Linked DNA regions of Notamacropus eugenii. The protein of the gene in region 1 interacts with the protein of each later gene in a pairwise test. Links are inferred from orthologs where the notes say so. Each region holds a gene or a part of one and is shown on either strand. Other genes may lie near its edges.

Region 1 (7,822 bases):
AAGGCCAGCCCTAATAATATGTAAGACTCAATTTTCCCTGGATTTGATTTGACATCCGCCTAGCGAGCAAGGGAATTAGTCATATGAAAACCCCGGGAGTCTTATTTATCCTGATTGTGCTCTCTTTGTGGTTATGAGGCGGGAAGTCTTCCCCTAGGTCTTCCTGGAGTTGAGACGAGACAACTCCGCATCCTTTCTGGCTCTGAATTTCTGTGATTCTGTGATTAAGTAACCTAACAACTAAAGAGCTTAAATGGGATGGTTTGCTCCTCTTTCAGACTGATTAACTGAGGAGGGAGATGAAGGAATAAAAATCTGGAAAGCCTGGGGCTTTGTCACAAAGCCCAGTTGCCTAATAGTGTGATGAGGATGTTTGTTATACTCAAATTTTTTTTTCAATTTATTGTTTTGGATGTTAGACTTTTGTATTTTATCTTTCTCCTGGCTGAGTTAGATTTGGGATCCCTCCTGAGCTAACTACCCACAAACAACATGAATAAGATCCCCACATAATAAATAAGCTTTAGATGTATGAGATAGCCTTAAACTCACCTGGTCAGAGGGAGAAAATTGTCCTTTGTCAAGTGTGACTGGCAGCAGAGATGACCAAACCAGGGGGCCATTTGTTGGGGTTCATTATGTGTCATACTGCTCTGTTGAACTCTGTAAGACAAAGATGTCCTAGGATAATTTACTTGTCTGCCCATCACTAAACTGAAATGCCATATTTGAGTCTGTGTGACGCTGAGGAAAACAATGTGCCCTGAGAATGTGTGGTAATCTTTTGTGATGTCACCTCTAGAATGTCTTGAGTGCTTTGGAGACAAGCTTGTGCGAAGATCCTGCACCTTGAATTTCACTTTGGTATGATTTTATCTTTTATTTTGAAAAAAGAGGTTATTTGAAACATAAACATGTAGTTATCAAGATAGCTGCTCCAAAATATAACATAGGCATAGGGAACAAATAGGTCTAATGGCATTTTCCAAATCATGTACTCACAGAACCCTGGTGTTCTGACTAATGGGAACCAGTAGAGTGATTTAAGAAAATTTCAATGCTGAAATATGAAATATAAAATTAAGTATATTAAAAACATTCTATATAGTGAGTTAAAAATAATCTTATTCCCCTCTAACATCCAACTTTCCCCAAGCTCTGTCTTTTTTCCTGGGGGTGAGTGGGTATTCCATCTCCCCCCCCCATCTCCTGGATCAGCCTTTAAGGTTTGAATTCATGTAGTTCATGCCTCAAAGTGGTCCATGGTTGAATAATTTTAGGAAATGCTGTTCTAAACCATATATTTATTTGAAGCCATGGTCTAGAGGATGAGGTAGAGTGATGTTGCATGTTCTTTTGCACTCAGATTTCCTTCCTTTGGGCATAAATAATTGAGGGTGTATGGTAAGCAAAGAAGCAAAATAACTATTCTTTTTTTCTATGGGTAACTGAGGTTTGAGCGTGGATATGGAAGAAAAAGTATATCATACTTGTTCCACTGAGTATCTCTCTTGGCCAAATTAAAATTCAGAGGGGCATGTGGTATAGGGGGAGGTGCCAGATTTGAGAAGCTTTTTGGTTCCACCTATGATTGACATATCGAAGAAAAATACAGTATGTGATTTTTAGTTAAAGATAGGCTTATTTCTTTCCCAAAATTATTGTGTGTCATCATGAAAATAATGTCAAATATCATCAGAATATTGGGATTTCAGCCCTAGTTCTCTCTGCCACTACTTAGCTTTGTAACCTTGGGGAAGGAACTAAATCTTTTCTTTTCTGAGCTTCATCATCTGTAAAATGAGGTAGCTAGTTCAGATCCGTTGTCTTCAAAGTGAGGACATTAGAATGACCCCACGGGGGTTGTGACTTGGCCCTAATAGATGAATTGATTGATCATTTATCCATTGAGAAGATGGGTCCCATTCTTGTCTCCCCTCCCCACCAGCCAATGGTAGGTCTTGTCTCTAAGACAACTCAACCACTTCCTCTAACACTTCTGTGTAACTTTACTCACTCCCTTGCACATTGGTTATATGGAAATGTGTTGGTCCTTCATGACCCAACTTCTGATCTAGGCACCAGGCAGCATCTGTGTTGGCAAAACTCCATCATTCCTTACCCCTCACTAACTTCACCCAATATCCTCTGGATGGTGACTACTGCAGTCTTTGAGCTCCGGGGAAAAGTAACTATATGCCATCAACCTTGCACAAACTTTTCATTTTTCTTTGGGAAGGAGTGAGTAGCATAGAATGAACAGATACAGATGGATTAAAATGAAATTATCTTTTACTCCCAATGCACTCCTTTTTTGAACTTCCTTATTTCTGGGGAGGGTACCATAATGCTTTGTTACCCAGGTTCTCAACCTCCATCTTAACCTTAACTTCTTATTCAATTGAAACTGTTCTGTTCAAAGTTACCAGCAATCTTTTAATTGCAAGATCCAATGGTCTTTTCTCAATTCTCATCCTTCTCTGACCTCTGTGACTGTGTTTACCACCTCTCTCCTGGGTACTTATTCTTTCTTCTTTCCTAACACTGCTCTCTTGGTTCTCCTATCTCTCTGACCACTCCTTAATTTCCTTTACTTGTTTATATCACATCCCCCAACAGTAAGTATTACCTTTTCTTGATGTGGATGATGTGTGTGTGTGTGTATATGTGTGTGTGTGTGTGTATATCCAGTCATAATCTTTCTCCTGAATTCCAGTCTCACATCATAAGTGCTTATGATGTATATATATATAAATATATATGTTATATATATAAATATATATGTTTTATATATATGTATATATATATATATATATATACCATAGGCATTTCAAAGTCAACATATCCAAAAGGGAATTCATTACCTTTTCCCCTTCACGACCCTCCTCCCAACCCACCTGTTTTCTGAATTTTCCCATTTCTGTTGAGCACACAATTTTACCCATTAGTCACTCAGGCTCTCAACCCTGGTGTTATTGATTTATCCTCACTCTCTCTCACCCCATATGGAAGTCCCGCCATGTTTACCTCCCCAATGTCTCTTGTATTCTTCCTTTTCTGCCTACCCATACAACCATTACCTTAGTTCTACGCCTCATAGCCTCTCACCTAAACTAAAGTAATAGCTTCCTAATTTGATCTCTTTGCCTCAGGTCTATCCCCTCTTTAATAAATCCCTAACATAGCAACCAAAGTGACTTTTTCTTAAAGTGCAGGTCACTTCCTTATTCTTCATTAACTCCAGTGGCTTCCTATTGATTTTAGGATCAAATGTTATTTTATCTGTCTCATCCCCACCCCCACCCACCAGTCCCCTAAGATCACTTCCCTAGTTATATCCTGGCCTCTCACTCACCCACATATGAATCCATTGCCAAATCTTGTTTTTACCCTTGCAACAACATCTCATATATTCCTTTTTTCTCCCATTCATACAGCTATCACCCTATATTTAGGCTCTCATCAATTTGCCTGGATTATGGCAATAGGCTTCTAATTAGTCTCCTTGTCTGTAGTCACTTCTTAGCCCTACCCATCATCAGTTCATTTCCCAAAGTGTTTTTCCCAAAGCTTCTAGGTCAGCCTGTGTGTGTTTCCCCTTCTTCCCCTCATTAAACTCAACTGGCTCCCTATTATCTGTAGGATCAAATATAAAATCCTTTGACATTTAAAGCTCTTCATTACCTGGCTCCTTCCTCCATTTCTAGTCTTTTTACACTTAATTCATTCCCTGTTCTATGACCTAGCTATATTGATCTACTCAAACACAAATACTTCATCTCTAACTACTCCTTGTATTAGATGGTTGACCCTTATGCCTAGAGTGTTCTCACCTTCCTCACCTCTAAATCTTGACTTTTTCAAGGTTCAGGACAACTCCCACCTTCTGCAGGAGACCTTTCCTGGTCCTCTCAGTTGTATCTTCCCCTCGAAGATCATCTCATACTTACTCTGTGTATGACTTCTTTGTACACATATATGTACATGCTGCCTTCCACATAAGAATGTGAACTCCTTGGGAACAGGATTATTTTTGCTTTTATTTGTATCCCCAGTAAGTGATTAATAAATGCTTTCTGATGATCTGACTAGTGTATATAATTATCAGTATAGTAACTATCATGTAGTAGCATAATTTATAAATGGGTAACTATGGAGACATGCACAGAAATTTGTTTCTACGAAAACAAGAGTGCAATCAAAAAAAGTTTGGAAACTCCTGGACTGGATAATTTTTGTTTTAAAAATATATGTTTTATTGAACATTTTTAAAACATTACTGTTCTATCTTAATGACACCCCCTCATTATAAACCTCCCTTGTAACAAAGAAGTACAACTGAGTAAAAATCCATGCAACATCCCTCCGTAGAGAGCACAGCCTTATTTCTTTCCCAGAGTCCATCACTATTCTGCTGTTAGACAGGGTCATGTTTCATTGGCTATAAAGATGATCTTTCTTTATAGCCTCCTGCCAGCACTAAAATTTCTAATCATTCTATGAAATGGTCCACCATTTCAAAACACTTACCTAAGACTTGAGGGGAGGGGATCAAACTGGTGCTTAGTCTAAGTAATGTTAAAGGGACCATCATTTTGACCAGTCAAAACAACTGTCATTACCTCTATGCCTACTTACCAAAGATGAAGAAGATGGGGGTTACAAATTTTCTGGCATCAGCAGGGAGAACAAAGCCTATGGAGCTGGCCAGAGGTATGATAGTAGCTTTCAGTACCTGGTTTCCGATTTACCAAATCGCTTTTCATTTGGTTGCTAGTAGATGCTACCAGAGGTTTGGATTGTCTCCTGTTGCTATGTCACAATGGGGGCTGCCCTATTCATTGCCCTCCACCTTGTTTGCACACTTCAGTCACTCAGCCTGAAATGTGGAATGAAGGAGTCAAAAGTAAAGGTAAAGCCTAAAATGCTTCATATAGGAATGACCGGGGTGAAAACAGCTTATTAGTGATCAGAGAGCGATTTTGAAAGCTGACCCTCCCCAAAAGAGTTTTCAGAAGGAAAACAGAGAATGGGAGGAAAATGATTGAAATTCTTTCTCTTAGTAGAAGAAATTGTAACAACTTGGGGCGAGGGTGACCAGATGGATTGCACAAGATGCCAAGAGAGCATTGGCAATTCAGGACACTCTGATTCAAAATATATTTACAGCCTTACGTTGAACAGATCATTTTCTACCAATTTCATGCCATACTGATTAACTAGAATTAAATCTGTATCTCCTTATGAGAAGATGCTGCTTCTGGTGGTGGAATAATAACATAATGGTTGTATGAGTATGGGAAGGTTTATGTTTAGGACTTAAATACTGGTAGTTTTTTGGTTTGTTTTGTGTTGGCATGGTGGTGTGGGTGGACATAGAGGTGGCCAGCAGCTCCTGGAAGAATCTATTACTGTTGGTAGCTCTTTCTTTTGGGATTCTGTCTATCCGCCCCATTAGGTCTGTGCATTAATATTTTGAGAGGCAGCATGGTGTGATTAACAGAGAGACAGTCTCAGAGTCAGAAAGATGGATTCTAGTTCAGCTTCTGACACAAATCAATTGTGTGATCCTGGGTAAGTCATTTAACTTTCTAGTGTCCTCAGGAGATCAGCTTTCTGAAGTTGTTGATCTGCATTAGTAGAGAATGTTCCCTCAGGTCTGGTAAACCTCCCCTTGCCATACACACACACACACACACACACACACACACACACACACACACACACACACACACACATACACACCAAAAAACTTATGGACAAGTGATAAAAATACAAGATATGGAAAACCAGGAGAGGAAAGAAAGGGAAATGATGTGATTTAGAAGAATTTTTCCCTGAAAGATCTATCCTTGATGGTAGCTATGTCTGTGACTTGGCAGTCAATTCATAGAAAGTAAGGACCCAAGGCTGATGAAGGATATAGTAGATGGTTAGACAGACAGAAGAATAGGAGGTGGGCAGTGTGTTGGGGGAGGGAATATTTACCAAACTTGATTCTGTGCTTTGGAGGAGGGGAGTATTCATTCTTCCTCTGCACAATGGAGGGGTCTATGGAAGATTAGGCATGGGATGCATAGAATGCTTTCTGGTGATGTGTAATGAAGATGGATAACATCTTCCCAAGGGCTCATTGGCATTGGCTGAGGGTTAGTATCCTGGGGATTAGATATTCTGTTCCTGTGACATGTCTTTCAAGAAATTGGAGACAATCTGTCCTCTTGCTGTGTAAGGAATACTCCTAGAAAAGAGAGGTTACTCTTTTCCAAAGTGCTTTGAACTACTACTGTGTTGTATTAAGCAAAAAAATTGCCTGATGCATCAAACAAAGATAAGAGTAGAATTTCTGGCCCTGGTTTCATCAATAACTAGTTCTGTGGCTTTGGGCACATCAGGTCTTATCAGAGCCTTACAGCTCCCCATCTGTAAAATGAAAGAACTGGGCTAAATGAGGAGCTAGGAATTTTTTGAGGGGAGAGAAAGAACTTATTTTGTAAGATAAATAGAATATAGCTTTTTGAAGAACCACACTTTCTTGTGTACATACATCACAGAGTCATAGATTTAGAACTAGAAGAGATCCTTAGAGGTCATCTTATTCAACCAGATAAGAAACTCAGGCCCAGGGTTGGTGACTTGCCTAAGGTCACACAGGTTGCAGAGTCTAGGACTCAAACTCAGGTCCTAGTTTTTTTTTAACTGTCCCAGATATAGATCAGCTCAGATGACACTTCTTTTCTGATTCTCCTAGTCATTAGCATGTATCTTTGCCACCTAAAAGTATATTATATTTATTCATCTGTTCAAATATTGTTTACCCTTCCTTCTCCTCCCTCTCCTACCCCCAGTAAAAATGTCAGCTCCCTGAGGTATGGGGCTATTTTTACCTTTAATTTTTTTATTCCCAGCAATTCACACAGTTGACTTGTACATAGCTGACAATAAATGCTGATTTAATTGAATTATGTGTGTATATATATGTATATATATATATATATACATATATGTATACATATATATTTTTGTTGTTAGAGGTTTGGTACCAATCTCCTCTATGCTGTTTTACATATTGTCATTTTATTTAATTCATTCACAGTGCATTGGGAGGCAGCCTAGTATGATAAGAAAATAAAGACTTGGTCTTGAGATCTGTGTTCAGACTCATCTCTGACACATCTTGCCTGAATGGCTGTAGGCAAATCATTTAACACCTCAGTATCCCCAAGAAATTCTCTAAGAAGACCAAAAGTGCAGAGCAGGTATCTGTATCTTTATTGGTAAAGGGGCTTACTCCTACAGAGTTCTGGTGAAAACAAACCAACCCTATGAACAAGAGTTGTGTCCAACTCTTCATGATCTCATGGACCATATCACATCAGTGCTGTCCACGGGGTTTTCTTGGCAAATATACTGTTTTGATTTACCATTTCCTTTTCCAGTAGACTAAGGCAAACAGAGTTTAAGTGACTTGCCCAAGGTCATCACACAACTAGTAAATGTCTGAGGCCAGATCTGAATGCAGGTGTTTCTGATTCCAGGCCCAAGGCTCTATCCACTGGGTCATTAGCTGGCTTCTACGTAAACAGTGGTTAAGTGATGTCAAGGTCACATAGCTAGTAAATACTGAAGTTGGATTCGAACTCGGGTCTTCCTTACTGCAGATCCAGTGTTCTATCCACTGAGCCACCTAGCTGCCTCACATACATAATGCCAAATAATGACTATTAGTGTACTTTAATGATGTCAACTAAAACACAGATATAGGCTCATTTACTTTATCTGTACATCGAAAACCCACTGCCCCCCAACCCCAACTTTAAGG
Region 2 (7,306 bases), on another chromosome or scaffold:
CACCAGGCTTGGAGTCAGACAGATCTGAGTGCAAATCCATTCTCAGACACTTACTAGCTGTGTGACCCTGGGCAAGTCACTTAACCCTATTTGCCTCAGTTTCCTCATCTACAAAATGAGCTGAAGAAGGAAATAACAAACCACTCCAGTATCTCTGCCAAGAGAACTCAAAATGAGGTCACAAAGAGTTGGACTTGACTAAAATGACTGAACAACAACAAATCACATTATAAAAAAACGCACTGATCCATCAACTTAAGGCACAATGTTGATTTACCCATCACATAAAAGTTAAAATAGAGTGTTACTAGTAGAAAACACAGTATTTCAAAGGAATTTTGTTAGATATATGTCAGCCAGATTCAGAAGATTTTCCCAGACTCAAGAGATGTAGAGGCAGCAGCAGCATGACATAGAAGGATAAAGGAGATTAGATAGCTAGAAGGCTCCAAAGAGACAAATAAAATTGCGATGATCCTAATAGGAAGTTGTCATTGTTTGAAAGGAAGTCTCCAAAATGAAATGTTCTAGGAAGAGCATCAGATGTTACCAATCTCAGCAGAATCTATCTGGGAGTATAAGGCTATTCATGATTACTGAAGAATAAGCTTTTTGGAAGCAGGGACCACACTTGATAGGTCTGTGTATCTCCCTCAGACCCTAGCAGAATTTATTGCACATAATGGGTGATGAATATCTATTGAATGAATATTAAATGAGCCTGGCAAACTTCAAAGGGCATAGGCATTTTAAGTAGGGGAAGGCAAATCTTAGTGGGTAGCTTGTTCTGTGTGTGGTCTTTGCACTTAAAAATCCTTTGAAGGTGAAATGTCATTCATGTTCTACCCACTGAAATACTTCAGTTTTTGCTTTTAGCTCCATTATATTATGTTTGTTACACATAAAACCTGTGCCTGGGTATTACTTTAAGACAGATTTAGTCTACCGGAGTCTCTGAGGAACATAGTGAATATAGTAATGGACTTAGAATGTGGAAGATCTGAATTAAAATCCTACCTCACATACTTACCAGCTGTGTAATCCTGGTGGTCACTTAATCTCTTTCAGCCTTAATTTCCTCATCTGTAAAATGGGAGTAATAATAGCTTTTAACTTCCAGGGTTGTTGCTAGGATCAAATGAGATATCTATAAAGTGCTTTGAAAACTTCAAAGTACTCTGTAAATGCTATTGTATTTGATCCCCTTCCTCAATCCTCTTGTGAAAGTAAATCCCTGGTGTACCCATGTAATAAGGATCATGACCCTTCTGGCATCTCCAACCATGCCCATGTCCTCATAGTGTGGATGGAGTCTCGGAAGGCTCACTTTCTTTTATATTGTACAGTGGTTATACCAACTTGTCGTGAACAATTGTCAATATTTTGAAACACTTGACAGTTTTCACTTTCAGCTTCAGTGTTGCTTTCTCATCACTCATGCATATTACCAGGGTGGGGATCTTTGAGGGCTCTCTGTAAAAGAACTAGAGACTTTGCTAGGATGGCGTCCATGGTGAGATTCTTCTTTTGGGTCCAAAATGCCAGATTTGAGGCAGGCTTTCTGAAGGTGATATGCCCATCTGAGCCTGCCTTTCTCTTCTCTTCAAAGGAGTACATCCTATCTGCACATCATCTGCATGACCATCTAGGCTGTAAATGTTTTCAGAGTAAAATCAATGTGTTTGAAAAAGTTGCTTTATATTAGCAGTACAGTGAGTTCCTTGAGTGACCCACATACTTGTCCATGTTAAATATTTTCACATGCTTGAAAGATAGGTCCCATTTTTGTAATAGATTCTTACAGTCTTGCTACTGGGCAGCTCCAGAGTGACCTTCTTGTCTGTCTCTAGGTAAGACTTAAAAATTCAGTTTCTGACATTTTTGGAAGACCATTCATTGGTCTGAAAGTCATGATCCATGATGATGAAGCCTTGTCCTTAGCTCCCTAGCTCCTTTAACAGGTAGAGACTGTTGCTGTGGGTAACTCATCCTCTCTCCTTTTTTTGGGGGGGGGGTAGTATGCCAGTCATAGACACATAATTCTGCATGGTTTACCAGATCCTTGAACAAAAAGGAAATGGACAACTCTCTGAATAAGACTATCCTACTTCTCCTACCCTATATTCTTCTTCAAGGAGTGGTGGCCACCAAAATCTTGGCACTCTTCTAAAAGGGGATATGGTGGTTCAGGAAACACATCTTGCTCTTTTGGATGTTAGCTGCCTCAACACCTTATATGACAGCTAGCCATACCTATAGCAAGTAGGCAAGTTAAGTTTTCCTATTTGAAGAAATTTCATTGAGATTTCAGGAAATATTAATGAAATGTTGATGTATAAACCAGAGACACCTAAGGTTTCAGTTAGAAAGGGACATATTTCAAGTTGATAGGATAGGGATTAGACCTCTGATTTCATTGGTATAGGGAAGTGTTGGAAGTGTCATCTACCAAGAAGATCATCAATAGTCTGGGGCACTTAAAGATTCAGTGATTTACTTAGTATCACCAAGACAGTATGGGTCAGAGGCAGAACTTGAATGTAGATCTTCAGGGCTTTGAAGCCATCTCTGTATCTACTATATCAGATGACTCTAGAAATTTTGCAAGTTACATGTATAACCTATATTGAACTACTTGCCTTCTTAATGAAGGGGAAGGGAGGAAGAGAGAGAATTTGGAACTCTTAAGTTTTAAAAATGAATGTTAAAATTGTTTTTACCTGTAACTGAGGAACAATAAAATATTAAATTTATAAAAAGGAATTTTGTTAGTTCTAGCAACAGACTCTTATTTGTCTTTCAATGGGCTGTCCTAGTTAAACATGAGGTATCTTCTCACCAGTAGGTTGACCATTTGGTGACACTTTTTTTGTCCATAGAAACCTAATGAATACCTAAATTATATTTAAAATACAATATGAGCTGAACCACTTGATCATAGAGCAATATGAGCATGCTAACACAGAAAATAATTTTTTCCATGAAAATGAAATCTATTAATATGAATACACATATAGCAAAGCCTGATTAATTTGGGCCCTAGGTAATGGTAATTGGTCTTAAGTTGGGAAATTTTTTATACAGTTCAAGAAACTCAAACATCTGAAAATATTTCATAAAATTTCAGGTTTTCCAAAAGAAAACAAAGCAGATAGGAGGGCTTCAGGACAGTTCAATGATCCCTACATTATTTCTCTACTTTTGGATGTGGATAAGGGAGCCTAATGATGATAAAGCACCTGAAACCTGAGTAATGAGAAGGGCTTCTCTATTCCTTGGTGGCTTGGTTTCTAGGTAACCTGGAGCAGTTAGAATTAGCTTTGTCTTCTGTCAGTTCATGCAAAAGAAGCAGCAAGAAGGCAAGATGTGGTTAAGTAGAGGTGAGTGCTGTGATGATAGGGAGTTACCTAAGGAGAATTCCTGGATCTCAAGTTTTCTGGGTAACTATCTATCTGAAAGATGTTCTCTTGTCTCTTACGGTCTTGTATAATGGTGCTGAATTCTCTGTACTAGGAAACAAGTATATCATTTGTAAAGATGCTTATTTCTTAGAATGGTAACCAGAGGTCTTGACTGAGAAGAGATATCCAAGATTTATGTTACTTATTGTTTAAATGACAGTAAAAAAGCAGATTTGCTGAAAAACCAGAAGAATAACAATTCACCAAGTGTCTAGACACTCAGACCAAGTCAGTGGTTATCTATCTATATCTGAACAGGAATTCTTTCTACAGAATCCCTGACAAGTGGTCATTTTAGCCATTTCTTTAAGGCCTCAAATGAAAGGGAACCAATTACCTCCTGGGCCTTCCCATTCTGCTTTGGGAAAGCTCTAATTGTGGAGAAATTTTTCTTACACTGAACCTAAATCTGCCTCTGTAACTTCCTCTCAATGGTGTAGGTTGAAATTATTTGTAGGAGACTTTACAATTTAAAGAGCATCCTATATTCATACATATATGTATGCATATATGCACAAACATATGTGTGTGTATGTATGTGTAAGAGATCTTTTTTGATAATGTGTCTGACAGAGACCCATACTACAGATAAGAAAATCCAGTCCTAGAGAAGACAAAATGTTTGCCCAAGATCACGTAATTTGTGTGTGTTAGAATATTCTGTCTAGTGATCAGTTTGTATTTATGACCACTGGAAAAACTCAAAAAGCAAAATATGAATAATTAATGACTTGAAATTCTCTGGGCCACTCTGGCTCTCTACAATAGGCAGGATGCAGGTGTCCTATTACCTCTGGACGCTGCTGAATACTTAGTGACAGTGCTGTTGCTCTGCAACCTGGTTTGTTGTTGCTGGGCTTTCCGAGGCTTGGCTGATAGGAGACTGCAGCTTTGTTCTAAATATGGTATGTAGCATTGAAGCCACAGTGATTTTGTAAAATGTCATATGTGAAGGAGGAATATGAGAGAACTTATCTGGTCATAGTGACCTTGGTTGGCTTTTCTCTTGAGGTGGAATGGAGTGGGAAGCTGGGGGATAGAGGTATCTAGGTATTGATGGGCAATCTTCATCGAAGGCCTGCAAAATGCTTTGCTATAGCTGGTTTGGATTGAGATTGGTAGAATAAAACATGAACAATATAGATATCCTATACTTGGGAAACAGTGAATAGATCACTCTGGATGGAGCAGAAGGATTAGTAAGGGAGGGTAATGGAAAACGGAGTTGTTGGACCTGACTGGGGCCAGGTTGTGGAGGGTCCTTAATATTAAAATGAGGACTTTGGACTTTATCTTGTAGACAATGGGAAATTGTTTTTGAGCAGAGATCCAGTATGATCAAAGCAACATTTTGAGAAAAATTCATCTTGTGGGTTGGGGTTGGATTGGATGGGATTAGATTGGACGGGGAAAAGACACTATTATAATTATCATGCATGAGCAAATGGTGGACTGGGTTAAGGCAGGGACAGCATTACTAAAGAGAAAGGGACAGATATGAGAGTCACTTAAGATAAAATGACAAACTTGGTTGACTGGTTGTAAGAAGATGAGGGAGATGGTAGAATTAAAGGAGATTTTGAAGCTTTGGGTTTGAGTAACTGGGACAGTGGTACTATTGATAGAAATGGAGATGACGAGGTGGAGAGTTCATTTTGGGAGGAGATGACAAGTTCATTTTTAAGAATTTTTAGTTTGAGGCGATAATGGGAGAGCCAAGTGGACGTGTCAGATGGAAATTTAGGACTAGAACTTGGAAGGGACTGGAGATTTAGAAGCCATTTATATAGAAGTGATAACTGAACCTATGAAAGTGGCTGAGTTGTCTAAGGGAAAGGTGACTTACGAGAGAAGAGATATTCATTGTCATGCTAATGTGTAGGCAGCATTGGGATAATACTTACTGGGGAGGCAATTCAACCAACCCCATCCATTTAGTCTTTTTAATCCATCCTTCACTGTCCTGTCAAAGTGGTCGTCTTAAAGCTAGGTATGGGCATGTGACTCACCTTCTCTAAAAGCTCCAGTGGCCCCCTATTACCTATAGGAAAAAAAATACAACTTCTTTATTTGGCATTTAAAGATGTCTACAATTTAGTTTTACCCTACCTTTTGAGGCTTATTACTCATTATCTCTTTTCATAATTTGAGAATTCAACCAAAACTAAGCTACTTGTAATCCTCACACACAGCATTCCTCTGATTCTAGAGGCTGTTCACTATTTGTCTTGTTTTAAATATTGCTTGTTGTTTATGAATAGTTCTGGTTTCACAAATGAGGATTGTAAGGAAGTCACGTACACAAGTAAATCCTACCCTTGATTGAAAAATGGACAGAGAAACTAGGATTGCTGCATAGGCAAAGATAGAGCTAATAGTGGTGAGACAAGGAAGAGGAGCTATAGAAGAAGAAAAAAAAATCGTCATACAGGTAGGGAAGCAATGGGATTAAAGTAGGAGTATATCTTGTGGCCTAGATGAAAATATAACCAGGGTAACTCCAAACTGGTCAAATGAGCAATCTTGAGGAACTGTTGTGTGATCCATTGACCAGGAGGGAAGTCTCTAGTGAAGGGTCCATAGACCTGTCCTTATTCTCATACTGTTTAGCCTTTTTAAATTAAGGACTTAGAAGAAGGTATAGATGACATGTTAGCCAAATTTGCTACTGTCATGAACCTGAGGTGGATAGCTATCACGATGGACTATAGACAGGTCCTAAAAGGATTGTGGCAAGTTAGAATAACAGGTCAAGTTTAAGAAGATAAAATTCAATATGTAAAATGAATTAAAATGTTAAAAAATTTAAAAATCTTACACCTGGGTGAAAAAAAATAATCAACTGCCTAACAACAGAATCTCGGAGGTGGGGCTAGACACCAATCAGTACTTATGAAAAGGTTTGGGAAAGTTAGTGGACTGCAAACACAACATGAGTCAACAGTGTGACCTAGCAACCAAAAGAGGAATATGAACTTAGATTGAATTAACAGAAGCACAATCTTCAGAATGAGAGAGGCAATAGTCCTGTTGTGGCACTCTGATCTGACCAGAACATGGTCAGAGTATTAGATTTAGTCCCAGGTGAGACATTTTAGGAAATCTATCGATACACTGAAGCATGTCCTAGGGAGAATCATCGTTACCATGATGTGATAATTGAAAACCATGCCCTAAGAGGATCGGTTGATTGGTCTGGGTATGTTTAATCTGGAGAAGAGAAGACTTAATTGGGTCATGATAAGGGTCTTATGGATGTCTTATGGGCTGTCTTGTGGAATATTTCTTCAGGTTTGTCTCACAGCTGAGACTAGGAGCAACGGGTAAAAATTGCAGAGAGGAAATTTTGTCTCAATGAAAGAAAAATCTCCATAATTAGAGATATCACAAAGTGTGACTCAAGAGGTAGTGAATTTTCCAGCACTGGAGATCTTGGAGCAGGGTACTGGGTAAACCACTAGGCATAATTTAGAAGAGACACCTCAGGATGCCCTCTGGGCTGCCATTTTGAAATAATGATTCTATTCTATAAACAATATACAAACATTCTTAAGAGAAAAGATTTGAAAACTATCCCCCTAAATATTTATTTATAGTATTTATTCTATTAGTTTGTGAGTTCCTTGAGGATGGGGACTTTTTTTTTTTTACCTCTTTTTGTATACCCAGTGTGCAATGCAGTGACTGGCACATAGTATGTGCTTAATGAATGTTGATTGATTTTTATAATGTTTTAATGTGGCTTTCTAGAATAGACTTTAAAATCACAAAGTTTTAAATTCTGAATTCTGAAACATCCAGAAGTAAAGACATCTGGTATGGAACTCTGCTCCTGCAGTTGGTTG

What was found.
Region 2: the proteins of CBY2 (region 1) and DZIP1L interact in binary tests that used the Homo sapiens proteins (3 or more experiments, as listed by UniProt). The two-hybrid records come from large-scale screens. The link is inferred for Notamacropus eugenii from reciprocal best matches to the Homo sapiens genes CBY2 and DZIP1L.

Annotation. Positions count from the first base shown.
Region 1 is NC_092877.1:296,276,068-296,283,889, forward strand, and holds the start of CBY2 (protein chibby homolog 2), read left to right. Parts: upstream 1-4,807; 5' UTR 4,808-4,822; coding exon 4,823-4,912; intron 4,913-7,822.
Region 2 is NC_092876.1:329,279,469-329,286,774, forward strand, and holds the start of DZIP1L (cilium assembly protein DZIP1L), read left to right. Parts: upstream 1-4,291; 5' UTR 4,292-4,363; coding exon 4,364-4,366; intron 4,367-7,306. UniProt on the Homo sapiens protein: Involved in primary cilium formation. Probably acts as a transition zone protein required for localization of PKD1/PC1 and PKD2/PC2 to the ciliary membrane.